Linked DNA regions of Mytilus edulis. The main gene of each other region encodes a partner of the protein of the gene in region 4 in a complex. Links are inferred from orthologs where the notes say so. Each region holds a gene or a part of one and is shown on either strand. Other genes may lie near its edges. The genes, in order: nuclear pore complex protein Nup214-like, nuclear pore complex protein Nup54-like, nuclear pore complex protein Nup107-like and nuclear pore complex protein Nup205-like.

What was found.
Region 1: nuclear pore complex protein Nup205-like (region 4) and nuclear pore complex protein Nup214-like share a complex: the UniProt entries of both Drosophila melanogaster proteins name them as parts of the nuclear pore complex. The link is inferred for Mytilus edulis from reciprocal best matches to the Drosophila melanogaster genes Nup205 and Nup214.
Region 2: nuclear pore complex protein Nup205-like (region 4) and nuclear pore complex protein Nup54-like share a complex: the UniProt entries of both Drosophila melanogaster proteins name them as parts of the nuclear pore complex. The link is inferred for Mytilus edulis from reciprocal best matches to the Drosophila melanogaster genes Nup205 and Nup54.
Region 3: nuclear pore complex protein Nup205-like (region 4) and nuclear pore complex protein Nup107-like share a complex: the UniProt entries of both Drosophila melanogaster proteins name them as parts of the nuclear pore complex. The link is inferred for Mytilus edulis from reciprocal best matches to the Drosophila melanogaster genes Nup205 and Nup107.

What each region holds. Positions count from the first base shown.
Region 1 is NC_092345.1:2,075,692-2,083,029, forward strand, and holds the start of nuclear pore complex protein Nup214-like, read left to right. Parts: upstream 1-4,327; 5' UTR 4,328-4,415; coding exon 4,416-4,454; intron 4,455-5,122; coding exon 5,123-5,249; intron 5,250-6,483; coding exon 6,484-6,710; intron 6,711-7,338. Other genes in the region: serine/threonine-protein kinase Nek7-like, read right to left, coding at 679-867. UniProt on the Drosophila melanogaster protein: Part of the nuclear pore complex. Serves as a docking site in the receptor-mediated import of substrates across the nuclear pore complex including emb, RanGAP and phosphorylated Mad. Protects mbo/Nup88 from proteasomal degradation at the nuclear pore.
Region 2 is NC_092351.1:43,985,770-43,993,618, forward strand, and holds the start of nuclear pore complex protein Nup54-like, read right to left. Parts: upstream 3,023-7,849; 5' UTR 2,946-3,022; coding exon 2,843-2,945; intron 1-2,842. Other genes in the region: uncharacterized protein, read left to right, coding at 6,528-6,546. UniProt on the Drosophila melanogaster protein: Component of the nuclear pore complex (NPC), a complex required for the trafficking across the nuclear envelope. Essential for the nuclear import of nuclear localization signal (NLS)-containing proteins in an importin alpha/importin beta-dependent manner.
Region 3 is NC_092347.1:43,234,008-43,241,915, forward strand, and holds the start of nuclear pore complex protein Nup107-like, read right to left. Parts: upstream 3,020-7,908; 5' UTR 2,900-3,019; intron 1-2,899. Other genes in the region: protein BCCIP homolog, read left to right, coding at 3,205-3,330. UniProt on the Drosophila melanogaster protein: Plays a role in nuclear pore complex (NPC) assembly and maintenance. Required for nuclear import of Mad. Mediates the association between the nuclear pore complex and a subset of active chromatin regions adjacent to lamin-associated domains.
Region 4 is NC_092353.1:65,266,134-65,273,572, reverse strand, and holds the start of nuclear pore complex protein Nup205-like, read right to left. Parts: upstream 3,023-7,439; 5' UTR 2,899-3,022; coding exon 2,868-2,898; intron 1-2,867. UniProt on the Drosophila melanogaster protein: Plays a role in the nuclear pore complex (NPC) assembly and maintenance, but with limited role in NPC permeability. Required for specific nuclear import pathways such as Mad import.

The DNA.
Region 1 (7,338 bases), on a different chromosome or scaffold from region 4:
GTAGTTCATTGATGATACAATCGTCATATAGTATAACTAAAACTAAACATGCTCAAAGATGTATTATGTGTAACTTATTTTCAAATCATTCATTTATTAGTTTATCATCATGATCATGCAGTGTTAATTGAATTAATTTGAAAGGGATATAAACTGTCAGTCTTGATTAGATAAATGTCAGAAACCTGCTGGTTGTAGTTTGTTACTGTCTGTTATTTATGTTTTCCTGTAAATCATGTACATGTATATTGTTTGCCATGAATCTTAGATCTTGCCAATGGTTTCATATTTTGTCATGTTGAGGATTTTAACAAAGACCATACTGTATTATTCTGCTCACTATTGAAGGTTTGTACAGTAACCTATATTTGATTACATCCACACCTTTTGGACACAGGTGGATAGCTGTCTCATTGGCAATCATTCCACATTTTCTTATTTTCATGCTTTTCTCTCCACATCAATACAATTTTGGGCTGTTTGAGCTTTTTGGATGGGTTGTTGTCTCTTTGACATGTTTGACCAAAACCTAGTATTCATTTTCTATCCCAATCTACTAACAGTTTAATCACCAGTGGCTCTTTACATATAAAAATTGTATGACTGAATTGTACAAGTATTTTTTTTGAAAGATTTTTTGTGAAATGAGTGTCAGTTCTACATTTTATAAATATTTACCTGAACTTTCTTCAATGCTACAACACTGCCATCTATTTTATTAATAGCTCTATATACTTCAGAAAACTGTCCCTTTCCTATCTTTTTATCTATTTTAAAATTAGCAAGGCAGCCATATTTACTGTCCTGTTCATCAGTAGGGGAGGGGTTTCCTTCTAAGTCCATTGGCTCCATACCCCCGGCAGCCATATTGGTAGCCTTTAACCTAATGAGAAATGAACTAAATATTGTAACATACAATGTACAGTGACCTACATGTATAGTTATTAATGTCTGTGTCATTTTGGTCTCTTGTGGACAGTTGTCTCATTGGCATCATACCCTTTTTAAAAATGTATGTTTACATTAAATTGCCGTAATCAATATTTTTAGAAAGAATTACAAGTTCTTCTTTCGTCAAATTGCTGTCATCACTAATTTTCAGAAAGAATTTAACTTCATTCATCAAATTCAGTCCATTTACTTTTAATCAGCAAGCACCAAAAATTACTATTAAATTATCAAATTATTGCATTAACATGATTAATGTCATATCGCGCATTTGGCAAAATAATTTACTGTTATAAATTCGTCCCCCATTACAACCATAGAGGATACACTTATCACTATTTGTCGGCCATTACTGGGTATCACAAAAGTTCCCTTAAAATTCTGACATCATAAAAGAAAATATCTGACGCCACAATGGAAAAGTGATTGTAGTATGACGTCAAAATTCAAGTGGGCCAGATTCTTGGGTCAAACGCTGAAGCGGGAACAGCGATACGGTCTATACACCTTAATGCTAATACCAGCTGCGACGCATACAACAATCACTTTTCCATTGTGGCATCAGATAGTTTGTTTTATGAACCTGTGTAATATCCAGTAATCAACAGACATATATATATAGCGATAAGGTGTACCTATTGATAGAGCAGTTGATTATTACTCTTTCAATTGAACAAGAGATTGGTTGAGGGCATCCAGTACCAGTGTATTTTATGCTGGAAAGAACATTTTTTTTTATTATAATATACATGTATCTGTATAAATTTATCTGATTGGTTGTTGTTGTTTGATCTGGTACCAGGTAGGAAAATGTGGAAAAATTTCAACAGAGTATTCATAGATGAAGTACAATTAACTGCCGCATTCTATCGATAACAAAAGAATGGTTTACCTTGTTTACCTTCCGTTCTAGTTTTTTTTGTACCGAATAGTATAGGAATTTAATGGAAGTGTTTGGTGCGCATGAGTTAATTTTTCCTGACAACGTCATTCGGTTATCCTCTCGATTTTAGTTCAAAATAAACGAAAACATCGAAGAAATTAAATCAAAATCTTTTGTACGTTTTAGACAAATTGCGAAATAATGAGATATTAAAGATTAAATTTCAAATCAAATCAAATCAAATATGTTTATTGGATAATCAATATATATGTACAGTGCACAATTGATGTCTTCCACACAATGAACAGATATTAAAACAATTAATACAAAATAAATGCATATACATTAGAAATAATATCTGGACAGAGCTAATATAAGTTGTAAAACATTAATATAGTTCAAAAGCTTTTTCAATAAAAGTACAGATAGCTTTTGTATCAATTTTATTTAAAGGATACATAATGTTATGTAGAATAGTAGATTCCTTTTCCCTTTTATTTAAATCCGAGGGGTCGATATTTAATTTTTTGAAGAGATCTTGTCTTAAAATTGAAAACTTTTTACAGTATAAAATGAAGTGTTTTTCATCATCTAATAAATCACAAGTCTGACAAAGTCTTGAGTTATGCGGAATTTTTGGTCTATGATAACGACCTTTTTCTATTAAAAGAGAATGTGCACTAATTCTTAACTTAGTCAAATTTTTACATAGTGCTTTTGGAATATTAAAGTCAAGATATTTTTGAAGAGAAAAATTTGTGTAACAAAATGAAAAATATTTAAGCTTTGAGTCAGAATTGTAATTAGAATAATTTTGAAGCTGTTCTTTAATTAGTTGGATGGTTTGATCGTGTATTTTCAATTCTAGATTTTCATTTTCCAAATTCTTTACATCCAATTTAAATTTTTTGCAACTATAATCAATAAATGAATACCATGATTTTGACCCCTCTTTGAAAAGTCCTCTATCTACTTTATACACTTCAGCAAGAAATCTATCAGATGGAAGTTGTTGCAGTCTTATGAAATATTTAAAAGCCAATTTAGTAATAAAATTAATAATTGGTAATCTTCCTAATCACACCTGGAGGCTAAATTTGATGCCTTTTTATGTACTCCAAGTAGATATTTACAAAATTTATTATGTATTTTTTCAAATGGTATATTATCTTTATTTAAATCTTTTAAAGTAAAATCGGATATCCAAACTTCTGATCCATAGGTTGTAATAGGTCTAATTAGAGAATCAAATAACTTTAGCTTAAGCTTGGTACCAGAGTAATTATAATCTAGAATATTTGATTTAAGACTAAATACTGCTTTAAGAGCTTTATTATACATATGTTCTGCGGCATGCTTTAAATTGCCATTAAATGAAATCAGCATTCCAAGATATTTATATTTATCGACTGTTTCTATATTTTGACCATTAATTTTAAATTTGATGGCAGATTTTTTCTTGCCCTTACTAAAAATCATAACTTTAGTTTTAGTAATATTGACTTTCAACTTCCATCTGTTACAATATATTCCCAGGCTGTCCAGACAAGCTTGTAAACCCTTTTCACTCTCTGACAGTAGAATTAAATCATCTGCATATTGTAAACAATTAAATTGTGTTGTAATGAGTGACACAGGAAATGTTTTTGAAAAATCAAATATTTTTGGCAGATCATTAGTGTATATATTAAATAACAGAGGGCTAAGACCATCACCTTGTCTAACACCCCTATTGGCTCTATGAGCTTCTGAAATAAAGTTTTCTTTTTTTACCACAAACTTTGAATTAGAGTACATATGTTTAATTATCTTATAGAAATTTCCTCCAATTTTAAGATTTAATAGTTTTTTAAGTAATCCTGAGTGCCAAACAGAGTCAAAAGCTTTAGAGAGATCTACAAAACAAGCAAAAATAGGCTTTTTTAATTTGTGTAAATATTTATTTATCAAAGTTTTAATAGTGAAAATATGATCTGCAGTTCTATAATCTGGTCTGAATCCTGCTTGAAAGGGATTATAAAGATTATTTTCTTCCATATATTTATGCAGTCTTTTCTGTAATAATGAGGTGAAAAGCTTGCCAAGACAGCTGGTAAGGCTAATACATCTATAATTATCGCATATGTTTATGTCACCATTTTTGTGTAAGAAGGAAGTACAAGATAAATTCCAAGCATCTGGAAATTTTCCGCTTGATAAAATTCTGTTAAATAAATTAACAATAGGTAAAAGTAATAGGTCTTTTCCATATAAAAGGAATTCATTATATATAAGGTCTATTCCTGGTTGTTTATTCTTCTTAAGTTTTTTAATGCCATCTCTGACTTCTTTACAAATGAATGCATAATCTAAATGTTTATTATTAATATTTTCAATTTCTATCTTCGAGATATCTAAATCAGTATTATTTTCTTCATAAAGCTTTTTTAAGTAATTTGACATTTCAGATAGAGGTATAGGATTTTCTTCTCTATTTGTATTTTTCTTCAGATTATTAAAATTTAACATTGAACGAAATTTTGCAATATTTACAATTTGGGGCCAAATTTTGCAATATTTAAAAGCGAAAGTTTAGATTTAGATTATGGCAACAGCTGACGAACCTCCGGAAAGAGACGTGAAGGTATGTTGTGTTTGTAATGTGTAATAGTAGGCAGGTGTTACAATGTCGAAGAAATGACTATTTTGAAACTCATTTTTATAAAATTTTTGCAACAAAAAACAGTATAGACCTACTTTACATTGCATACCTGCCAACTTTTCAAAATGCCCATGGGTGTTTTACGTGCAAAATGGCTCTCCAAGTCCTACACAACCTGTAAAGGGGCCTTCAAATTTATTTTAATGATGTTTATTTGCTTCCTCATACTTGCATGCATACTGTATACAATCCTATACCAATGATTAATTGTTTGATTTGTTTTAAATTTTGGACAAAATTGCTCTTTCAAAATTTCAAATTGGAAGCCTCTAAAGGGGGAAACCCTCGCAAATAGTGACAGTTGGCAGGAATACAGTCTATGATTTTTGGAAACAAGACTTATATATGTTTTTAAGTTTAAACACACTTTCTTGTTCAAAATGACAAATGGGATAGACACAAGTTTTTCAACTAAGTATTGTCTTCTCCAATTATAGTTTATAGGTCAGGGAGCCAGTGCGGCCATGTAATAAAGTTATTTTAAGTTTTACTTCTATTTGATATTGAATCATATGTTGTTGTATTTATAAAGACTTCAGATAAATGGAAAACAGATCACATATTAATTGTCCATTAATTTGTTTAATCAGGATTTCAGATATCAGCAGCTATGCAGGTTTCAGATAGATGATGGCAATTCACCAGTAAGGGGGAAGAGTCCTCAGTTAGTTGCAGCTTCCTCAAAATATGGAGTAGTCTTTGTTGGTACAAGTAACGGTAAGTCATTTGGGGAAAAAAAGCAGTTCAGGGTTCAATGCCAGACATATTTTTAGAAGACCTGCCTGGTAGAAGAGGTAAATAAATAAATAAGCTTTATTTAGAGTCGGCAATGTATACAAACATAAACAACATAAGCTCTAATGAGCTTTTAACTGACATACAAGACATTTATAACAATACAACATTTAAAACAATACAACACATAATACACAAGCAATAAATTACGCAGCACAAAATGAAGGACTAAAAGCATAGTGGTAATAAGCAGAATATAAGCATGCTAAGCTAAGTATTAAAGCTAAAAGCATATAAGTGTAAACTATACATGATTAAAAAGCTGGTAAAAATGCATAGCATTAAATATTTAAAAAAAGATGTATGATCTAAACAATGGTAAATAATTTTCATGATTTTAGCATAATTTTAGGATAAAATCTGCACAAACTGTAAACTGTAAATGTAATGCATGAATATGATTAATAGTAATTGAACCAATGAAAGGCTAAAATCTCTATTGCATTGCAGTCTTATCTAATTTTTGTTGAGCCTTAGACTTTTGTCGAAAAAGCGAGACATAGCGATCCTACATTATGGCGTCTACGTCATTGTTGTTGTTGTCAGTAGCGTCCACAAATATTCACTAGATGACTGATGTGGTTAAAGTTTTTAAAATTTAAATAACTTTCTTAAACTCTCCTGAATTTGTACCAAATTTGGACAGAAGCTTGTGTATAATCATGATCATATGATAGTATCCAGAAATAAATTTTGTAAAAAAAAATGCCATTTTTTCCCGTATTTTACTAATAAATGGACAATAATGGACTTAGTTTTTCTGCCAGGAAACATTACATGTACATTCACTCTGTGGTTTAAGTTTTTAAAATTTTAATAACTTTCTTAAACTATCTGGGATTTGTACCAAATTTGGACAGAAGCTTGTTTATGATAAAATGCTAGTATCTAGTAGGAAATGTTGTTAAAATTTTGTTCCTGTTTCAGTATTTTACCTGTAAATGGACTTAGTTTTTCTTCCAGTTAACATTACATCCAGTCTGCAGTTAAAGTTTTTAAAATATTTATTAGATTCATAAACTACACTGAATTTTAACTAAACTTGGACAGAAGCTTCTTACAATCAAAAGATAGTCATGATAGTATCGAGAAAGATATTTTGATTAATTTTTTCCTCATTTTTGGTGAGCCTATGTTCTATTCATCATATTTGTAGGATTTAAAGTGATACAGACATCTGAACTGAGTAGAATTGATAGAGAACATGCTAAAGACAGAACAAAAATAATTGTGAAAGAATATCCTTGCCAGGCGTCAATAGAGTTATCTGCCCCTCCATCATTGTTGGCACTTAGTTGTGACAGTCTTAGCTTGGCTGTGGTTGTAGAAAGTGCAGATTTGTCACAAGTCTACATATATGATACTAGAAGTTTTGTCAGTCAGGTAAATTATATAGACATAAAGTCTTTATTCATAGGTTTGATTAAAGAGAATTTCTCCAGAGAGAGCCAGTATCTGTTTTTTTTTCCATGGAGCTGATGTATTCTTGCATTGTTAACCCTTAGTATCCTTTAAAAGTGTTTTTCTAGGTACAAACTCATAGATTTGATTTTTTTCTAATAAACATGATAAATACTACACAATGCACTAGTTTCTTTTTCTGTGTATTTCAAGCAATTAAACATAATTTCAAATAACAAGAGTTGTGATCAGAAGCTGCATACCACCAACATTTTAAAAAGGACTGGCAAAATTTTTGAATTTATGGTATTTTGCAACAGAAATAACAATAAGTACCACCAGATTTTCTCCAATGACATACATCAAAAAATGTTTTAATAACTCTTAAATAATATTGATGAGTATTAAACATGGTTAGTTGGAGTGGTATTTAGCTCAGAATTTGGTGGTTAGTGGAATAATAAATTTTTAAAAAAATGTTTGAAGATATCTATTTGTTATGTTGCAATATTTTAAATGAATTTATACTGCACTCGTTCTATTTGAGCAGTCAAAATGCGTTGACTGTATATTTCTATGCCATATACAGTCACTGACCTGATATTACTTT
Region 2 (7,849 bases), on a different chromosome or scaffold from region 4:
TAAACTCAGAAGTATCTTTTTAAACATGTTAAAGAACATCCCAGTTGTGTAAAATGGTTTCCATATCAAACAAGACGGTGGCTACTGAAAATTCAATGAACAAATACCTCAAAGTTCAAAGATCAATATTTAAAAAACGATCTGAGAAATCTTTTAAAATACAAATGTACATCATTTTGCAATGACAAAATGTATAAAATTTCATTAAAACGATTTTTTGTTAAACCTGAACATATAGTTATGAAGAACACTTCGTAAATGTGAAATGATTTGCTATAAAGTCATGTGACAAATAATTGTCGATGTAAGGCGTCAAAGAAAAAACATTTAATAGCCTTTAAAATGTCATAATTATTTGGACTAGGTCATGATGATGAGTCAAAGTAACGTTATAAAAAGTCCAAATAATTATGACGTCTGGCAAGGCTATTTTAATTTTTTCTGGGTTGTCCTACAGTCAGGGGACTTACTTAAACAAGTGATTTTCTAAATCACTGATTCAAGTAACATTATTTCCATAAAGGTTCGAAGTTAGAGTTGTCTTTCTCTAATAATCACCTATTTAAGTAGTACAAATTAATCACTAGAAGAAGTGATTTAATATTAGTGTAGCTTTAAATATAGAATACTAATGATCCAGGGCCTTAAATTATGTTTCTAAATTTATCAGAACCAACATCAGTCATCTGTGTTGTCTAGGATGACCAGGTCATTTCAGGTGATGACCTTGTACTGAATCTAGGATAATGACATAAAAATCACTTGTTTAAGTATCAGACCTCAATTTCCTTCCCAAAAATCACTTCTTTAAGTATCATTCTTTTAATAACCCCCACTAATTTCAACACCCCCGAACAGTGAAATTTTTATCGCGAACAGCGAACAGTAGAATTTTATTACATAATCTGAAAGATGAAACCTTGAACTTCACAGGAAAAATACTCCCACTGCTGTGAAAAATCTTTTAAGAAAGTATCAGTTCATTATGTAAAGCCATTATTATAGCATTTTTTCAACTAAAATAGAATTTTCAGAATGATAGCATCAAAGGCATAAACCTTGCTACTTAACAGAAGCAAAAAGTTCATATTTTTTAATTTTTACTAATTGAAAGATGCTATTTAAACCTATATGTTTAAAATTTAAAAAAAACTACAAAATCCCAATTTGTGACAAGACCTCGAATTTGCTACTCAAATAAGTGATTTTTACAGTAAGTCCCCTGACTGTCCTATGATGTTGTAGGAAGGCATCCCAGAAAAAAATTAAAATAGCCTTGCAAGACGTCATAATTATTTGGACTACGCAGGGGTTCAAATTAACATTTGGTACTAGAAGGTCCAGGACCTTTGACACTCCAAACTGAAAGGTCCACAACCTAAATTACAGGTCCTACTTTCACTTGAAATATTTCATAACTCAGTAAGATACAAAATTAATGTGCTTTTGGTGTTGGGTTAGCTTGTTTAATTGTTAGTGTCACTGTTGTATAACATGTTTAATAATAAATGTAATTGTCTTGTATATGAATTCACATAATCCTTTTTTTTTTGTATTGGGGAGGGTGTCACTGTTGGTGGGTGTGTTGTCTTGTAGTTTTCACTATAATATAAAGGACCATATGCATCTCCTTTTTATATTGTTCAATTCATACCCGAGAATACAATTAAAGTTCAAATTCAAAGCTGTTTAAGTGTGTCACATCTAGTTGCACTATTATAGTCATCTGTGAAAATAAAGTAAAAAACTTCCTGAGATTTTACTGGCCTTCAAAATTGAAAAGAAATTACCTCTTGGAATTGTAGTAATATGTTCACACTATAAAAACATCTACATGTAATATCAACATTTAGTAATGATGAAGAAAATTACTGTCACATTTTATTGGATTTTGACACGAAAATTTGTGAACTAAAAGTAATTTTGAGTTTCTGTATAAAAATATTTTCCTTCTTTCACTTTCTTTTCAATATATCTTTTGGTTTTCAATTCTAGTATTTATATTTCATCATAAAAGATGTATTTTGTCACCTGCCTGGAATTATTATTTTTTTAATGTATTTGATCGGCAAATTCGGAGTTACACTTATCCGTCACCGGAATCTGATCCGGTATTGTAATTGTCTTCACTTCCGGTTTATGGCATGCATTGATTTTCAATGTTGTTTATGTCAGTCAAATACGATTTTACTCGGATTTACACATTACTTGTTGGCGATTTTCGGTATAAAACTAGCGGTTGAACAAAATGAACATCGCTGTCATAATTTATAAAGATAAAAATAAATTTTGAGATTGTCTGGAAATTTTGGTTAAAAAGGTCGGCAAAGTTAATTTTTATATTCTTTCAAATCGAAGGTCTGTTGAGCGTAGCTTGTAACAATAACGAAAGTCTGATTGCAATAGTGGAAGGTCCACCGCTAATTTGAACCCCTGCTATATGTACGTTATAAATAGCAATTGAAAGAGAAAGTAAAGTGAAAGTATTGATTAAATTTACTGTAAATTCAGAAATTATTGTGTGCATTTATTATTAGGATTCTGTCATTTGAGACTTGAATGCAATTTTAATTTTTAATGATTTTGAGAAAAATACTGATTAATTCATATAAAACTCAAAATACGAGTTTAAATTATTGACTTTACAACTTTACAGGAAAAAAATCATATTATGGTGCACCTCTTTTTTGATACGACTCTTTGAAAGTACCAAATTTACGTAAATATACGTTGATAGTGGGTCTTCCCATAGATAGAAACAAGTGGCCTGTGACACAAATAATTTCAGACTAAAATAATTTACGCAGTTTTATCTGATAATCCATAATTAATATAATGATACCTGTGCTTTGAGTTTGTGTGCCGAATCCTCCAAATCCTGTTGAAGTAGATGTAGTAGCTGTTGTTCCAAAAGGAGTCGTCGCTGCTCCTCCAAAAAATGCCATACTTTTTCTATTCCTAAATTTCTAAATTTCCATTCCCGCGTTTCTTTCCTCCTGACTGGAGAGCAAAATAGTTATCTCCCCTAAACAGATTACTTCGGTTACACTAATTAGCGACAAGAAGGATTTCAGCGACAAGAAGTGACAAGAAGAATAATTTAGCGACAATTTTCGACTGGAAGATATAATTTAGCGACTTTATCAATCGAAAGTGATTGCTCAACGTCTCTTTGTTCTTAAGAAAATTATTGGTACTTTCAAGTTTTCATAATTATAGCCTTGCTGTATTAAAATCAAATACTTAAATGATTAGTTTACAAACTAATGAACTAAAAGAGACACGAACAGGAACATATATTATTAATAGATATATACTGTTCCCATGTTATATACTAGTATAGACACAATTGGTTCTGAAGGGGCGCACTACGTTTGCGCGCATTTGGGGATTAAAATATTTTATGTTTGCGCGCAGCTTTTGATTACATTTGCGCGCATTCATTTTACAGGTAATCTCAGGTAAAAATAATAATTCATATATATTAACACACTGATTAAATTATAAATGACTATACTTTATTGGTATTTTAATAATAAATATGACTATCAATTATTAATTTTTAAAATAGTTTGTTAATTCAAATTATATATTGTTCATATTGAATTCTAAAATCAATTTAAAACCCTGTTATATATATCTTAAGTTCAAGTTATGACAAATGGGCTATGTCACAGATTTCTTAAACTTTTGTCTACACCTTTGACTTGTTGAATTGTATATGAAAATCGAAAGTGGGGTATCAAAATCTCGGATTCGTACTTACAGACTAGTAATTAGGCCTACTTTTTTTTGATTGGGTAGAGTGAACATAAGAACTTCTCTTTTTTTCTTATTTCCCACTTGTACATGTTGTAAACATGAAAAAAAATGTACCTAAAGCCTCCCTTGAAAGATATTAGAATTTCAACACCGGCCCCAACAATATTTATTTGATAAAAAAAAAATAATGCGGTGAGTCTCAGCTAGCCCTTCAATTAAAATGTGTACTAGCCTAGTTCGGTGAAAATGGACGTCATACTAAATATATTTGATCTCAATAATGACAATTTTATTAAGACACATCTAACTGAGTTGACTTTAAATTAAGTTAATACTAACAATGAACCACAGGCACTTGTCTCAGATTCCCCCTCTCCCCTATATATATAGGGGGGATCGGTGTTTAAAACAACGTATTTGATTTTAACATGTTTAATGAAAGAAATCACTGTATTAATGAAAAATTATTACACAAGGGTTTTCGATATCACAAACTAGTCAAAAGATTTACTAAATGTTATCATTGGTACACATGTAAGGACATAATTCGTAAATGATAAATCAACATGCAGATATCTTATGTGTTCAGGTATTTTACATCAAATTTCTTATTGTAATATTCTCTATAAAGCACAACAATGTTGACATCAACCCCAAAATGGCAAAAGCTAACTAAACCTTTCAATAGACTGATTCAGGAGGGATATAGTTACGATACTATTGCCAGGTCATTAAAGATGGCATAGTTTGGTTTTAATATTGATTCACTCAAAGGGTCCTTGCGTCGGAAATATACACATTCATTCTAAAACCAATTGTTGACATGATACGGGATACATTTTCTCATATATTGTATGACGTTATGATACTAAACCTCTAACGGGATCGAAGGATTGTGCTTGATTTTCATATGATAAAGACATACATAATCTTTCAATCAGTTTAATTGAGGTCTGGAGCTGACATGTCAGTAACTGCTAGTAGTCTTTTGTTGATTTATGATTCATAAACCATTGTTTTTTGGTTTGTTTCTTTTGTTACCTAATCTGCCATCAGAATCGGACTTTCATAAATTGAGTTCTTTGCGAATTACTGTGTTTTTTTCTACGTTGGCTAGAGGTATAAGGGGAGCCCGGGTTGAGATTTCATTAAACATGTTTAACCTCGCCGTTGTTTGCCCGTCGTGAGTCAGGAGTCTCTTGACTTTGTTAGTCTTGTTAGATTTTTTTTTATAATTTTAGTTCATTTATATTTTTTGGAGTTAAGTATGACGTCAATTTTCACTAAACTAGTACACATTTTTGTTTAGAGGCAAGCTGAAGAACGACTCCGGCTGTGGGATTTTCTCGCTGTGTTGAAGACCCTTTGGTGGCTTTCGGCTGTTTTCTGCTCTTTGGTCGGGTTTTTGTCGCTTCGACACATTCTCCGTATCCATTCACCATTTTTCTTTTCTTTATATTTTCCTTAATGACCATGTTGAAACTAAGAAATTAAATCTTAAAAAATTGAGATGAGCAGAGCGAGACAAAAACGACAAAGCCTTTCATACCAACAAATTAGTTTGTTTTTATTGTAGGGGAAAGCGTTGTATGGTGGTCACCTTAGTCTGCAACTCAATAACATACAGTAAACAAACTTATTGACGACAAGACGTGTAAAGAATTTTCATTTGACTCCGATTTTATAAACAGTGATTTTTATTTTTGTGTGAGGGCCACAATGAAAATTAGACTAGTTCTAATTAAGTTACCCTCTTTAAATACAGAATTTATTATTATTATTATTATTATTATCACACTCTTGAAATATTTATAAGCTCTATTGTTGGTGGCCGTACGGTGACCTATGATAGTTCTTAATTTCTGCGTAGTGTCTCATTCATCATACCGCATCTACTTTTCATATTATCTTTCAAACTTTCGATACTAAATCTGCATGGCTAAAATTTCGATTTTAGAAAATTTAGCTCACTGTGATTCGCGTGTAAAATTAGATTGGTGTGAACTTCAAATATTGAGTTATCTTATAAAATGCTGTTATGTCTTTTATGGCAGATGACTTGCTTTAGGAGGTATTAATTTCTAACGCTGAAATTGTGTAATGTATATCTAATTTCATTGTACATTATTCATTGTACAACGTATTTACTTTAGACGCATTTGTTGGTAACCCGCCTGTAAGTGACACCGGTTTATAACAGTAGTATATGGGTCTCTCCTGTGGTATCAGCGATTTTCATGTTTATTTCTACAGGCGTACAAGTGAGCCGCTACATCTATTTAAATACAAATATATAGTATTCTATAAATAATATAATGTTTGAAAAAGGAAGTTTTTAATTGTTTCCATGTTTCCTTCCTTTAATTCTGTCTACGAATCGCTGAAAATAAAGAATAAAACTATGATATCATGACAGCATTTGATTTAACATTATTGCACTTTTTTTTTAAAGAAGCTCGTACGATATACGATAATTTCCCACCTAAAAACCCCATAACATCCTTTCTTTTATATCGTATTTACGGTCTAATAACTGAAAAAATCAACAAAGGACACTTTTGAAATTAAAACCTCAAGACTTAGTGCATTTTGTTTGGTAGTCGGAATACTAAGTAAACTATAAAATTTAAATGATAAAAAATACTTCCCCAAAGTTGTTACCTGTCATCTGGTCATAAAGTTAAATGTGTCACAATCGGTCGAAACTCAAATATATACTTCCCGTATGCGGACGTTGTAAAAACCATATTATGTTTATCTAATGGATGTGCAATAAACATGCAGGTAAGAAATCTTCATTTCAATTCATTTCACTGATGTATGAAATATTCGTTTTGAAAATAGAGTAAGGGGAAAGGTGCATACATAATCTTTAAATGATATAGGAGCCACAATCATGTTCTTATATTTGTATCGACTATACTTTTGAATCCTTTTCATATTTTATAAATACATGTACACATGTATTTATTTACAGTAAGATGTTGAAAGTCTATTGGCTTCCTATAATTCTACGCGTTGCATTGAAATACTCGATTTAAAGCGCACACTTAAACGAATTATACATATCAACGTAACAGCTGTTGAACAGGTCAATAAAAAAAGACACATCTTGGAGCACAAATGCACGTCGAATAACTCAACCCTTTCTCTTGACTAGTTAATACTTTGTACACATTTTGTTTGGGGACCAGCTGAAGCCCTTCTCCGGTCGCAGCATTTTCTAGCTGTGTTGAAGACCCATTGGTTGCATTCGCTTGTTTTTTGCGCTTTGGTCGGGTTGTTATCTCTTTGCCGCATTCGATCCCATTTCCATTCTTAATTTTAGCTATAATTCCCTTTCTTTCATTTCTTTTTTTCTTACTTATTTATATATGTTTACTAAAAACTGCTATGATACTTAATGACCCAGTATTCTGATTGCAAGTGTCAATATCATGGAAATCTCTTAGTTATAGCAGTAAATTTGTAAAAGAAAAAAAACCGAAAACCAAATTAAAAGGGACGTGCAGCACAACAGTTGCATTATGTCGACTCCTTGGTTCCAGCGATAGTTGTGCATAAGGGTTTGGATGAGGTTTACACAAAGGAGAATAATAGGGAAAAAGTGTATAATTAACATCTTTGAAATATAGAGATGAGCGAAAAGAGTAAAGAATAGAGAATAAAAGGGTGCTCAAATATAAAGAATAATGGCAAAATAAATAAAGAATAGAGAGGGAAATGATTAAAGAATAAAGAAATTAAAGATCACACATTCATACAGACCCTAATGCATACATCCTGTAATGCCTGCAAACAAATATCATCATTCAAAACTCACCCTGTGTGATCTACAAAACACAACGAGGAAACTGAATTACTAGACTGAGGGGGGTAGGAGGGGTCCTGATCCCGAAATCCCGGGCTTAAAAACACGAAATCCCGAGGTCTCGAATTTAAATAAAGTTAAATCCCGGATCCCGAAATTTAAAAAAAAGAATTCCCGGATCCCGAAGGAGTAAATCCCGAAATCCCGAGCTTAAAAACACCAGATCCCGGAGTCCCGATAAATGTCCTATCCCCCCCTCTAGACTTAACATAAACT
Region 3 (7,908 bases), on a different chromosome or scaffold from region 4:
TTTTATGCTTTAAATGAATTTATATGATCAACTAGAAATATATATACAAATCAAAAGGGATGTTACATTAATATATTCACCAAAGTTTCATAAAATCCCCCTTTTTTTAGTATAAAAATTCATTACTTAAGAAAACGTAAAATATAAAATTTATAAAAATGGAAAGGGAGCTTATGTCAATAGATATAAACAATTTATCAAAGTTGCATAAAATTTTGTGAAAGTGTTTGTTATTGTCCCAAAATTGGAAAATCCCCCCTTTTTTAAGCATAAAAATTCATAACACGGAAATGTAAAATCTGAAATTTATAAAAATTGAAAGGGAGCTTACATCAATAGATATAAACAATTTATCAAAGTTGCATAAAATTTTGTGAAAGTGTTTGTTATTGTCCCAAAATTGGAAAATCCCCCCTTTTTTAAGCATAAAAATTCATAACACGGAAATGTAAAATCTGAAATTTATAAAAATTGAAAGGGAGCTTACATCAATAGATATAAACAATTCACCAAAGTTTCATGGACATTGGTGAAAGCCTTTTTGAGTTATTGTCCGAAGTGTTGAAAATCCCCCTTTTTTTATGAATAAAGCCCCATAAATCCAAAACTTAAAATCTGAAATTTATAAAAATTGAAAGGGAGCTTACATCAATAGATATAAACAATTCACTCAGGTTTCATGGACATTGGTGAAAGCCTTTTTGAGTTATTGCCCGAAGTGTTGAAAATACCCCTTTTTTTATGAATAAAGCCCCATAAATCCAAAACTTAAAATCTGAAATTTATAAAAATTGAAAGGGAGCTTACATCAATAGATATAAACAATTCACCAAAGTTTCATGGACATTGGTGAAAGCCTTTTTGAGTTATTGTCCGAAGTGTTGAAAATCCCCCCTTTTTTATGAATAAAGCCCCATAAATCCAAAACTTAAAATCTGAAATTTATAAAAATTGAAAGGGAGCTTACATCAATAGATATAAACAATTCACCAAAGTTTCATGGACATTGGTGAAAGCCTTTTTGAGTTATTGTCCGAAGTGTTGAAAATCCCCCTTTTTTTTATGAATAAAGCCCCATAAATCCAAAACTTTAAAACTGAAATTTATAAAAATTGAAAGGGAGCTTACATAAATAGATATAAACAATTCACTAAAGTTTCATGGACATTGGTGAAAGCCTTTTTGAGTTATTGTCCGAAGTGTTGAAAATCCCCCTTTTTTTATGAATAAAGCCCCATAAATCCAAAACTTAAAATCTGAAATGTATAAAAATTGAAAGGGAGCTTACATCAATAGATATAAACAATTCACCAAAGTTTCATGGACATTGGTGAAAGCCTTTTTGAGTTATTGTCCGAAGTGTTTAAAATCCCCCCTTTTTTATGAATAAAGCCCCATAAATCCAAAACTTAAAATCTGAAATTTATAAAAATTGAAAGGGAGCTTACGTCAATAGATATAAACAATTCACTTAAGTTTCATGGAAATTGGTGAAAGTGTTTTTGAGTTATTGTCCGAAGTGTGGACGATGTTTATATGTTTATTGTTTTTTATAACCTTCTCTATATTCTTGAACAAAATTATGACATGAAAATTGTTTTTTCCTCATGTTTTTCTTTCATTTTGATGGTTTTTTTCAAGGGGGGGGGAGAAAATCGTGTAAGACGTAATATAAAGTGCTTGTCATTTTCAAATTCTTAAAAATACTATTCATAATATTTGCTTGGCCTGTTTTGTCTGCCACTAACATGACTAACAACAATGACTAAAATCAAGGACCGATTGTACACAAAGCAATGGAGGCAAGAAGTGGGATTTTCTGAAGTTCTGAATTGTTTTTAAGCATTTGGAAGTCAGGTTTGAAACAGCCTTTAGAAAATTGGCATTTTTGTACAATACTTTAGAATAACACCGACAACATATATTTAGAAATGTTTGTTTTAATTTGGAAGAGTAGAAAAAACATATTCTGCACTTGTTTATAACGCTGGTATAAGCGTAGTGACGTCAATGCAGTTTTCCTGTGTGATAAATACAATATAAAAGTCTGAATGAACCAACAAGATGACCGATTATAGACTAGGGTAGGATATAGAGATTGAGACGGTTTGGTACCATTAAAACGTTTAATACCGCTGCAATTGTTTGCCCCTTTAGTAAGTCAGGAATCTGATGTTCAGTCGTTGTTGTCTGTTTATGTGGTTCATAATTGTTTCTCATTTTTTTTTATAGATTAGACCTTTGGTTTTCCTGTTTGAATGGTTTTACACTAGTAATTTAGGGGGCCCTTTATACCTTGCTGTTCGGTGTGAGCCAAAGCTCTGTGTTGAAGGCCTGTACCTTGACCTTAAATGGTTTAATTTTATAAATGGTTACTTGGATGGAGAGTTGTCGCATTGGCACTCATAACAAGTCTTCCTATATTTATATATATATGTAACGAATTTATATAGAAATCATATCCCTGATCATATTTCCTATGATATTAGTTCAACTAGATCTTTTTTACAGGGACAAATTTTGGCTCACATATGCCCCACACGATATTCCCCTATGGCTATGCCCCATTGTCAACGTATATTTGTTCCGCCTAACAGAAGTTCCAATGGAAACTTTGTTATAAACATTGTCATAATATCTATTCCTGTTGGAAGAAATATTATATACCATTTATTCTGTTAGGAACATATACTGTAATATTTATTCCTGTGGAAATTATTTTCCACAATATTTTTTCCTTTTGGAACTTATATTATGAAGGAACTTCTATTCCGTGACACCATATCCCTCTTTTATAATTTCGGATTTTGTATTTTGTGTAAGAATTTTTTTTACATGCATGATGTACTTTGTGTACAGTTAAAATAGAAAACAATATACAGCTAGATCTCATATATACTTCTATGACAGCTTCTGTGCTTAATGTGATCGCATACTATATTTCTCAGGGAAAAAAATCTATTTTTCATTCGCGCTGCCATAAAATCAAGGGAGGTAATCACTTTTTAAACTTTTCAATGAAAACGAATGAACTTTACTTTTAAATTTTAACATAAAAGATTGAATTGATTTTTTTAAATATTGTAGAATTCTTCTTTAACTCCATAAATCTAGTGAAATTCAACAAATAATAAAAGATTTTATCAATAATTTTAACGATTTAATTAGTTTCGTTTTGCACAAGATTCTTAAAGACTTTATAAAATGGCTTCGAAGAAGAAACGTGTTGTGCAACTTGAAGAAAAAATGCAGGCCGACGATGTCGCCGATGATGAAGAAGGGTCAAGTGACATGGATGATGATGACAGTAGTGATGGTGAAGTTAATGAAGTAAGAAAATAACCCTGTCAACCAAATAAACAATATGAACATACTGAAAGGACGTTCTCTTGAAAAAGAGTTACCCCCCTTTACCCACGTTTTTGTTTGCTCTTTTTTAATTCTCATTAGGCTACTCGTATCCGCAACTGTTTTAATAATGTTGACTTCTGGATTATTTATAACAGTTTTTTTTTCTTTTTTTTTTTATATAAATTATCAATAATTAAATTGAGTACATTTGAAAAAAAAATTAATTAGTAACTTGATATAGTATGGTGACATGTACTTCAGAGCTTTCGAGACGGGTCGGCCATACTTCCATAACGGCCATAGGATTTGTCGGCCATACCGCCACATCGGCCACACAAAATTATTGAGGTTATATAAACATAGAATATAATGATAAAATATTGCAAAGCCTGTGTTACTTTTTAGACTGCTCGAACAGCATTTCACTACCCAATCAATGTATGTTTGCACTCCGCTTGAACTCAGCTTGGGTGCTGTGTTTTTATAGAGATCTTGAACAGTATTTCTTTTTGAATTTCTTTAGTTTAGTTTAAGCATATTTATTTATAGTGGATTGGGAAACAAGTTTTGCAACTTATGTTAATCCCTTTCCACTTTGCGGGTGCGAGTGCTGCCTTGTAGCGGCATTAGCCTGCTCTTTTTCGAAATCTACAAGGGTGTCTTTAACGTGCAAGAGATATGGCTCTCTCTTATTTATGGTCCCCGTCCGACGGACTATCATCGTTTCCTCAAGACCATACTCGCAAATGGTGTCAAAATTTTCATCCCAGATTGGAATCGAACCAGGAACCTTTGTGTTAGTAGTCCGATGCACTAACCACTACACCACGGCTCTCTTAACAAAATTTCTTTACAAAAGCATAATTAATGCTTGTGTTCATCAAAGAAGTAATAATAAGCAATTAACTATCTTCTTAAATTCAAAACTTAATCATTACTTGATTACTTTGTTTTACATTTCATAACTACTGAATCTTATAGTTATATCCTTGTTTTCAAAATTCCAATAGGGAACATACCTTTTATAATTGTATAAATAAACCAATTGTTCAAGACGTTTCGGCCATTGACCTTCTTCAGTTGTTTATTATTCCTCTAAACTACATGGCTGACATTTCTTATAGTTATAGTCAGTCAGAGCTCAGACATAAATAAGTCTCAATCTGCTTTTGACTCATAGAGGTCTAAAGTTGTAGTTTTGAGATATGTTTCCCTTTAATGCAAGACAAAATACGACTTTAATAAGTTAAATATTGTTAAGCAAGAAATAATTGACCAGGATCAAAAAGTTGCAAATATTGACTCCTACAAGTCGATAAGTTCTCAAAATTGGTTAACTTCCAAGTCCCACGCATATTTATGAAAAGGTCATGCATCTAAATCAAATAATGACAACATTGAAAGGCAATGCTTTGTCTTCTAAAGAAAAATATGAATGAGAGTCTAAAAAATCGAAAATAATGTTAATTAATCTTACAATGCAACCACCTGGAACCACACTTAATGAGGTAAAACATCTGTGTTTAGTAAGGATGTTCAATTAGATAATTGAATATAGATAGCTCAAGTCCTTGTGAACTCTCAGACAGGTTTTTGCTGCCATAGGTGGTGTACTTTGGCCACTAAGTACATTTGTACAATTAAGTTTTTTTTATCAACATAAATAGACCTAAACAAGTCTGTCATTTTCTGACTTAGATAAGTCTAAAATTGAAAACACATTTTTATAATAAATACATGTTTTGACTTCTTTAAGTCAAAAACAAAAATCGACTTGTTTATGTCTGAGCTCTGACTGATAATTTTGACAGAAATAAGTCTCCCATTCGGATAAAGTCATTCGAATCATATTTGTGCATTTTGTTCTGTTAGTTATACGCAAGATATCATAAAATCATTTGGAAAACAATATGATATTTTAATATGTTATTAGATTAAACACATTCCTATATGATATACATAATGCGTAAACAAATGATATAACAAAATTAAACATGATAAATAATGTAAAAACAGTATAGTTTATTAAAAAGTTATAATAACCATCTATAAGTATCAATTTGAAAATATTTCATATATAACATCACATTTAAAAAAAAAATTAAAACATGGACGATACGTCTTTACATAGTATGGCCGTTTTTGTACTATGGCCGTTTCATCTTTTCGGGGTATGGCCGTTTCATATTTTCGGGGTATGTCCGTTTCGTCCTAGGGACGTCATGGCAGTTTGGCCGTTACTTCCTGCATCAACTTCAGACATTATAACACTGCATCAGCCATGCTGCAATTAATGCAAATAACCCATCCCCTTCCCTGCCTGACATCGAATAAAGGATACTTTTCTAAATTCTAGTGTGCAAGAATTTGAATTGTCTAAAAATTATGTCATATAGATGGTATACTCTAGATACATTTATTTTCATAGATAACAATTTTCGTGGATGAAGAAAAACGCATGTTTGTAAACATTTAAGCTCAGGGTTTTGACAGAGTCTTCATACAAGCTTTTAGAAAACTTGTCATCCGTTGAATATTTAATTGTGTGGTTCACCAATACCCAGGAAATCCACGAAAATTGGTAACCAATGAATAATAATGAATGTACAGTAATACTTTATTCATGAAATGTACTCAAAGAAAAAGTAACAGGTAAAATGTTATGTCATTGTTTTAACAAAGTTTCCTGAACTTCTGTAACATATGTAAGGTGGAACAATTTAATGTTGACAAATCAACCCCGAAAAGTTCAGAAGAGTTCCACAAAGGGTCTCTATCACAGAAATGAGAAATACTTCTCTAGTGTTTAATTATTTGTATACGATCGCAAATATTATAAAATTGTGGTCATATATTGGTATCACGTTGTTGTCGACCGAAGACGGATGGTTTCCGGATAATAACTTTAGTAAAAGTAAATAGAAATCAATAAAATTTTAACATAAGCTTTATTACCACTAAAGGAAGGTTGGGATTGATTTTGGGGTTTTTGGTTTTAATAGTTTAGTAACAAGGGGCCCAAAAGGGGTCAAAATAAATATTTTTATACGACTGCAAAAACTAAAAAAAAATTTGGTCGTAAATTTGTATCTAGTTGGTGTCGTCGTCGTCATAGTCCTAAGACTTTTGGTTTTCGCACTATAACTTTAGTTTTAAGTATATAGAAATCTATGAAATTTAAACAAAAGGTTTATGACCACAACAGGAAGGTTGGGATTGATTTTGGAAGTTTTGGTCCCAACAGTTTAGGAATTAGGGGCCAAAAAGGACCCAAATAAGCATTTTCTTTGTTTTCACACTATAACTTTAGTTTAAGTAAATAGAAATCTATGAAATTTTGACACAAGGTTTATGACCACAAAAGGAAGGTTGGGATTGATTTTGGGAGTTTTGGTTCCAACTGTTTAGGAATTAGGGGCCAAAAAAGGGCCCAAATAAGCATTATTCTTTGTTTTTGGGGTCCTAAATTAAACTTTTGTTTGATTTCTTCAAAAATTGAATAATTGGGGTTCTTTGATATGCCAAATCTAACTGTGTATGTAGATTCTTAATTTTTGGTCCCGTTTTCAAATGGTCTACATTAAAGTCCAAAGGGTCCAAAATTAAACTAAGTTTGATTTTAACAAAAATTGAATTCTTGGGCTTCTTTGATATGCTGAATCTAAACATGTACTTAGATTTTTGATTATGGGCCCAGTTTTCAAGTTGGTCCAAATCAGGATCCAAAATTATTATATCATGTATATTAAGTATTGTGCAATAGCAAGAAATTTTCAATTGCACAGTATTCAGCAATAGCAAGAAATCTTCAATTGCACAGTATTGTGCAATAGCAAGAAATTTTCAATTGCACAGTATTGCGCAATAGCAAGAAATCTTCAATTGCACTTTTTGTCGAGCCTTTGACTTTAGTCGAAAAAGCGAGACTAAGCGATCCTACATTCTGTCAGCGGCGGCGGCGTCCACAAATATTCACTCTGTGGTTAAAGTTTTTGAAATTTAATAACTTTCTTAAACTATACTGAATTTCTACCAAACTTGGACAGAAGCTTGTTTATGATCATAAGAAAGTATCCAGAAGTAAATTTTGTAAAAATAAAATTCCATTTTTTCCGTATTTTACTTAAAAATGGACTTTGTTTTTCTGCGAGGAAACATTACATTCACTCTGTGGTTAAAGTTTTAAAAATTTTAATAACTTTCATAAACTATCCTTGATTTGTACCAAACTTGGCCAGAAGCTTGTTTATGATCATAAGATAGTATCAAGAAGAATATTTTGTAAAAATAAATTTCCACTTTTCCGTATTTTACTTATAAATGGACTTTGTTTTTCTGCGAGGAAACATTACATTCACTCTGTGGTTAAAGTTTTAAAAATTTTAATAACTTTCATAAACTATCCTTGATTTGTACCAAACTTGGCCAGAAGCTTGTTTATGATCATACGATAGTATCAAGAAGAAAATTTTGTAAAAATAAATTTCCACTTTTCCGTATTTTACTTATAAATGGACTTAGTTTTTTTGCCAAACATTCACTCTGTGGTTTAAGTTT
Region 4 (7,439 bases):
AATATTAATGATAATAGTTGCACTTTGTTTTATTTAGCATGAAATCATTTTGAATTTATGATTTAAGTGTCCAATCTGAAATTTCATGCATGTGCATAAAGTAGTAAACAAAGCATGTGTATTAGTAGAGAATTCTACATAGATTAAATCTAGTTTTAATCTTATTTTAAATCAGAATTGACAATTGTCTTACATGTAGCTGAAAAGTAATTAAATAACAAAGACAGTTGTTATGGAATTTTAATTCTTTATTATAATAGGTCTCAGCTTGTGATCAATATTCAGACATAGTCACCTAGATTCAACTAACCACTGTACCTCCATGACCTCGCAACTGGTATATTGTGACTTTAGAGAAAAGAAGATATTTTATAGTTTAGATTTCTGTTTCCTATTTTACTAGAATAATTGTCTCACATAGCATTTTTTTAAAGGCAAATTCAGTATAAATTTATTCTTTAAATGTGCATTTACATTTTATTTTAACTTTATCATGTTTTCTTTAACACAGACAGTATAGTTTTATTCCTTTAGTAAAAAGGAAGAGCTTTCAATTTACGTTCCTTTTACTTTGGATTCAGATGCCAAAAGAGGCTGATACATGTAATCATCACAACAATCATGGTTAAGACAATACAACAGTTCCAGAAAGTACGGATTCAACATACAGATATACAACATTTGCAATATTTGTTTTAAATTTAGATTGAACTAATAAATTATAAGTTGCCCTTCTCTTCACTGCATTCACAAAACCGGAAAATCACTGATAATTTCTGTGTATATTTCACACTTTAACCCTGATGCAATGACATTTTACTATAATAAAACTTAATGTGGATGTGTTTAGCCTACACAGGCCAATTTGGCAACTCGTCAATGCTTGGAGGGTTTCTCAGACACTGCCTTAAGAATGAAATTATGCACTTATACATGTACATGTAATTACACCTTATCACTATCCCCGGCTGACCTGAGAATCTGTCCCACTTGTACTATAGACGTCATACAACAATCACTTTTCCATTGTGGCGTCAGATATTTTGTATTATGATGTCAAAATGTTACAGGAATCTGTTTTATGTCAGTAATGGCAGACAAATAGCGATTAGGTGTACAGTAATACAAGGTGAAGACTAGATTATTTATACTAAATAGTTCTTGTTATGCAGGGGTTAAAAAATTTTGTTACAGCTAACTAGCCCAGAACTTATAGGCAGCCGTATTTTACTAGCCCTGTTGGAAGAACTGCTTGTTCATCAAAACTGACTGGCTAGTCCGAGTATGCCTTAAAAATTAGATTTTGCTTCATAATACAACACAGTGGGTGTCACTGTTTTGAAGGCGATATTATACACTGTATTTAATATTCTTTGTTGATCTGCTATTTATTCTGTTGGTGCTTAAGGCCACAATTAAAAATATTTTGGTTTGCCCAAACCCTACCCAAGGTTGAGACAGTGGGTAGGTAGGTAGGCATTTTCTTTTTTTTTTTTTTTTTTTAAAGAAATTTACGTATCGGATATTTATTAGTCTTCATGCCTATCTGATTAAAAAAAAACTTCTTCAAATCAGGACAATAAAAGAATTTGAGTAGGCAGCTTTTTTCTGGGTAGGTAGGGTTTGGGCAAACAAATCTATTCTTTTTTATGGCCTAACCTAACTTAGTTGTTCCCACATACAAAGCAGGCTTTTTATTGGCGTGCTTGGGGAAATAACGACAATTTTCACAGAGCATCGTCTCTGGGGTTTTTTCATCAGCAACAGCCGACCTTGCCCAGGGGAATCAATCTGTATTTTTTTCCCCCTGCTTTTCTCGGTCGTATTTGGCATATTTGGGGGATGAATTTTCAGCCTCGAATTACCCTCTTCATCTACAGTTTTTCGTTTTGAAATTGACGAAGTTCCTTGGGTGCCTGTACTAAAATATTTAGATATATTTTGTTGCATGGTTTCAAGCTCAACAGCCGTCCGTGCCAAAATGATCAATTCTCCATACCCCCAATACGGTTAATTGAAAAATCTCACCATTAGCATTAAGCAATCAAATAAATATACAATACCACAGGCAGGGTATGAGAAATCAATATTTATACATGATACCGGACCACCCAGAGTTATTTGTTCTATTTAAAAGAAATATGTACAAAACCACGAGTGTACAAACCAGTTCAAATTCTTGGAATTCGGATGACGTACATTTGTAATTGAATCTGATTGGCTAAGATAGAATAGTGATGAAAGGATTTTCAACTTTCTTCCTTTTTATTTTGGAAACGTCAAAAAATTTGTGATACTAGTCCGTCGGGCATATTGGGTTACACATTTTGATTGCCTGATGCGTAAATGCTCTAGTCCCGGGTGTCGGGCTAGCGGATTTTTTAACCCCTGATTATGTACTTGTGATTTCTTTCATATAGGACAAATGAGAAATTGTTTGAATGTTATAATACGAAATTTCATAAATAATTTTTCACATTTTAGCTTTTGTTATTTTTATAGGAAACATGTCAGACAAAATCATATAATTTCGATTTGTTAACATAAAATATATGTTCTGGAAACTTTGTTGTAAATAATGCCATATCCATAAACTTTATTCCGTATTAAAGGAACAATTTTATACTGTAATATTTGTTCCAGTGGATTATTATAAATTATCCATAATATTTCTTCTTTCTGGGACTGAATGAGGAGGAACTTAAAATATATTGCATGACACTTTGACAGGTGTTGTGTAAATCTATGGATGGTGCCAGTGGGAATCCAACCCTCAAACACGGGATCTAAAAGCAGCGCTCTAGCCAATAACAATATGAGCCAAAGAAGATCTTAACCTTTTCCCGTAATTAAATAGTAAAATTCACCTGAATTTACCGCCATGCCCCCAGATGCCATAGTGGCTGTAAACTGGTATCCTGATAAAATCCCGATGCTTCACTTCAAACAGACGGTAGTGAGTATTTTGTATAAGGAACCCAGATGAATTCACGTTCTATCGGCACTTTACAATATCGACCTATACAACTCGACCCTTTGATAGAAATGGTTCTTAATCGTGTATTTTATTTTAAAAAAGCAGAGACATTTTTATATATGTATATGTCTCTAAAAACATGCATTATCATATTATGATTATTGTGAGAAAGAAAATAGGCCAAAGAAAATAATAATTATTGCGATAAAGTAAATGGGCCAAAGAAAATAATGATGAAAGATTGTTTACCGTCTTTACCGTATCTCTCGTTTGCGATGGCTGTATATACATCCTTTATGTCAAGGATTTGTATAGTTTACTATCCTTGTCCTTATAAAAATTATTCATAAAAATCAAGTTATACAAAAACTTTTGCATAACTTAAATCCGAACAAATCAGCAGAACCAGATAACATTCCATCATCCGCTTTGCTGAGAAGTCAGCCTATAACTGGTATTGTTCCAGTCTGGCAGATGACTGGACAACTGCCCATGTCTCTCATGTAAATAAAATAAAATCAAATATTGGTGTAAATTCCTAGACAGAAATAATACCAGCCGACATTTACAAATACAAAAATAAACAAACAAACAAAAAAACATACATATTTTCTCAATGATCATGATAAGAGATACATATTTTATATTTACATTGCGTGGAGGTGTTATTCATACAATATTATTAATTCAAGCTATTACAATCAGCTTTAATACTATAAAAGCTCTTAACAACATTATGTTTGCTTTAAATGAATGTTCAAATCATACATATCGCTTATTCCAGCTACACTTACAGTACTAATGTCCGTATCATTACTTTTCAAAATGAAACTAAACTTATCTTGTTCACACATTTTACAGTGACTTGACTGTTAGTGTTGCTATCTACCAATTGCAACTCATTAAAAATTTTGACCAAATTGCAATTTGTTTTATAAAATCAAATTGTTCAACTGGTCAGAGTATTGAACAAATTGTTCAGTCAAAATGTGAAAGTGCAAGGTGATAAAATAAAATATACTTACAATCCTATAAGACTTTAACTCCACTTTATTGATGGTATTACTAAATCAGTCTATCAATCTGTATATATATATTATAGCCATTACCATACTAAAGGTGAACTGTTTTATTTTTAATTGCTATAAAAATGTCCAAACTAAGCTTTTATATAGTTTTTCTTTCGAAAAGTATTCTATATTCATAAGAATCACACATTATGTGAATAAAAACATTTCATATTCAGTAAAATATTTGTGAAATTGCAATATGTTTGTAGGAAGGGGAGATAATCTTTTTTGGTTTCAAAAAATCTTTATTCAAAAGAATAGTATTTTAGGTTATCTCGACAAGGAAACTTATCAATAGCATATTGTTATTTCACACATATTTTACTGAATATATGATGAATTATTTTAAATGATATATGATTCATAAAAATATAAAATCCTTTTTATTTTTAATTGCTATAAAAATGTCCAAACTAAGCTTTTATATAGTTTTTCTTTTGAAAAGGATTTATATCTTAGTAATCTTTTAGAAAAATCTTCTCCTCTGAAACTACTGGGCCAAATTTAACCAAACTTAGCCATAATCATCATTGGGGTATCTAGTTTAAAAAATGTGTCCGGTAACTCGGCCAACAAACCAAGATGGCCGCCATGGCTAAAAATAGAACATGGGTGTAAAATGCAGTTTTTGGCTTATAACTCAAAAACCAAAGCATTAAGAGCAAATCTGACAGGAAGTAAAATTGTTGAACAGGTCACGATCTATCTGCCCTGGAATTTTCAGATGAATCGGATAATCGGTTGTAAGGTTGCTGCCCCTGAATTGGTAATTTTGAGGAAATTTTGCTGTTTTTTTGTTATTATCTTGAATATTATTATAGATAGAGATAAACTGTAAACAGCAATAATGTACAGCAAAGTAAGAACTAAAAATAAGTCAGTATGACCAAAATAGTCAATTGACCCCCTAAGGAGTTATTGCCCTTCATAGTCAATTTTTAACAATTTTCTTAAAATTTGAAGATTTTCAATAACATTTTCCACAGAAAGTACTATTATAGATAGAGATAATTGTAAGCAGCAAGAATGTTTAGTAAAGTAAGATCTACAAACACATCACCATCACCAAAACACAATTTTGTCATGAATCCATCTGTGTCCATTGTTTAATATTCACATAGACCAAGGTGAGCGACACAGGCTCTTTAGAGCCTCTAGTTTTAAGTTAAGTGGTTGCTACTTTATGAAAGCCATTTTTATAATTTGCAGTAGTTTGAATATACTAGAGATGTCTCAATTACGCATTAGAAAACGTTAGCTACAGCAGCGTGCTTACAGCCGAAAAAAAGGATTGAGATATTAGGGATAACTACATTTTTATACGACCGCAAAATTTGAAAAATTTTTCGTCGTATATTGCTATCACGTTGGCGTCGTCGTCGTCGTCGTCGGCGGCGTCCGAATACTTTTAGTTTTCGCACTCTAACTTTAGTAAAAGTTAATAGAAATCTATGAAATTTTAACACAAGGTTTATGACCACAAAAGGAAGGTTGGTATTGATTTTGGGAGTTTTGGTCCCAACATTTTAGGAATTAGGGGCCAAAAAGGGCCCAAATAAGCATTTTCTTGGTTTTCGCACTATAACTTTAGTTTATGTTAATAGAAATCTATGAAATTTTGACACAAGGTTTATGACCACAAAAGAAAGGTTGGGATTGATTTTGGGAGTTTTGGTTTCAACAGTTTAGGAATTAAGGGCCAAAAAAGGGCCCAAATAAGCATTATTCTTGGTTTTCGCACAATAACTTTAGTTTAAGTAAAAAGAAATGAATGAAATTTAAACACAATGTTTATGACCACAAAAGGAAGGTTGGTATTGATTTTGGGAGTTAAGGTCCCAACAGTTTAGGAATTAGGGGCCAAAAAGGGACCCAAATAAGCATTTTTCTTGGTTTTCGCACCATAACGTTAGTATAAGTAAATATGAAATTTAAACACAAGGTTTATGACCATAAAAGGAAGGTTGGTATTGATTTTGGGAGTTTTGGTCCCAACAGTTTAGGAATAAGGGGCCCAAAGGGTCCAAAATTAAACTTTGTTTGATTTCATCAAAATTGAATAATCGGGGTTCTTTGATATGCCGAATCTAACTGTGTATGTAGATTCTTAACTTTTGGTCCCGTTTTCTTATTGGTCTACATTAAGGTCCAAAGGGTTCAAAATTAAACTTAGTTTGATTTTGACAAAAAATGAATTGGTTGGGTTCTTTGATATGCTGAATCTAAAAATGTACTTAGATTCTTGATTATTGGCCCAGTTTTCAAGTTGGTCCAAATCAGGGTCCAAAATTAAACTTTGTTTGATTTCATCAAAAATTGAATAAATGGGGTTCTTTGATATGCCAAATCTAACTGTGTATGTAGATTCTTCATTTTTGGTCCTGTTTTCAAATTGGTCTACATTAAAGTCCAAAGGGTCCAAAATTAAACTTAGTTTGATTTTAACAAAAATTGAAATCTTGGGGTTCTTTGATATGCTGAATCCAAACATGTACTTAGATTTTTGATTATGGGCCCATTTTTCAAGTTGGTCCAAATCAGGATCTAAAATTATTATATTAAGTATTGTGCAATAGCAAGTCTTTTCAATTGCAAAGTATTGCACAATGGCAAGAAATATCTAATTGCACAATATTGTGAAATAGCAATATTTTTTTTTAATTAGAGTTATCTTTCTTTGTCCAGAATAGTAAGCAAGAAATATCTAATTGCAAAATATTGTGCAATAGCAAGATTTTTTTTTAATTGGAGTTATCTTTCTTTGTCCAGAATCAACTTAAATCTTTGTTATATACAATATACAATGCATGTTCACTTTTTACTACCAACTGATAAATTAAAATAATCTTTACCATTCAGTGATAACAAGCATTTTTTTTACATCTTAATATTTTATGATGTATTTAAATGAGTAGTTATTGTTGCAAACTCCATTAGAAATTTTAATTGAGATTAGTTTTGGAATAAGGGAAAGGGGGATGTGATTAAAAAAATTGGGTTCAATTTTTCTCATTTGAAATTTCATAAATAAAAAGAAAATTTCTTCAAACATTTTTTTGAGAGGATTAATATTCAACAGCATAGTGAATTGCTCTAAGAGAAAACAAAAATTTTAAGTTCATTAGAACACATTCATTCTGTGTCAGAAACCTATGCTGTGTCAACTATTTAATCACAATCCAAATTTAGAGCTGAATCCAGCTTGAATGTTGTGTCCATACTTGCCCCAACCGTTCAGGGTTCAACCTCTGCGGTCGTATAAAGCTACGCCCTGCGGAGCATCTGGTTATCTTTTCTGTTTGTTTCAAATGGTATTTCTTCTCCAATGAGTATTTGGTAAAGGAATAGGGTAACGTTTTTTTTAATTTATTTTAAGTGTTATTTAACGGATC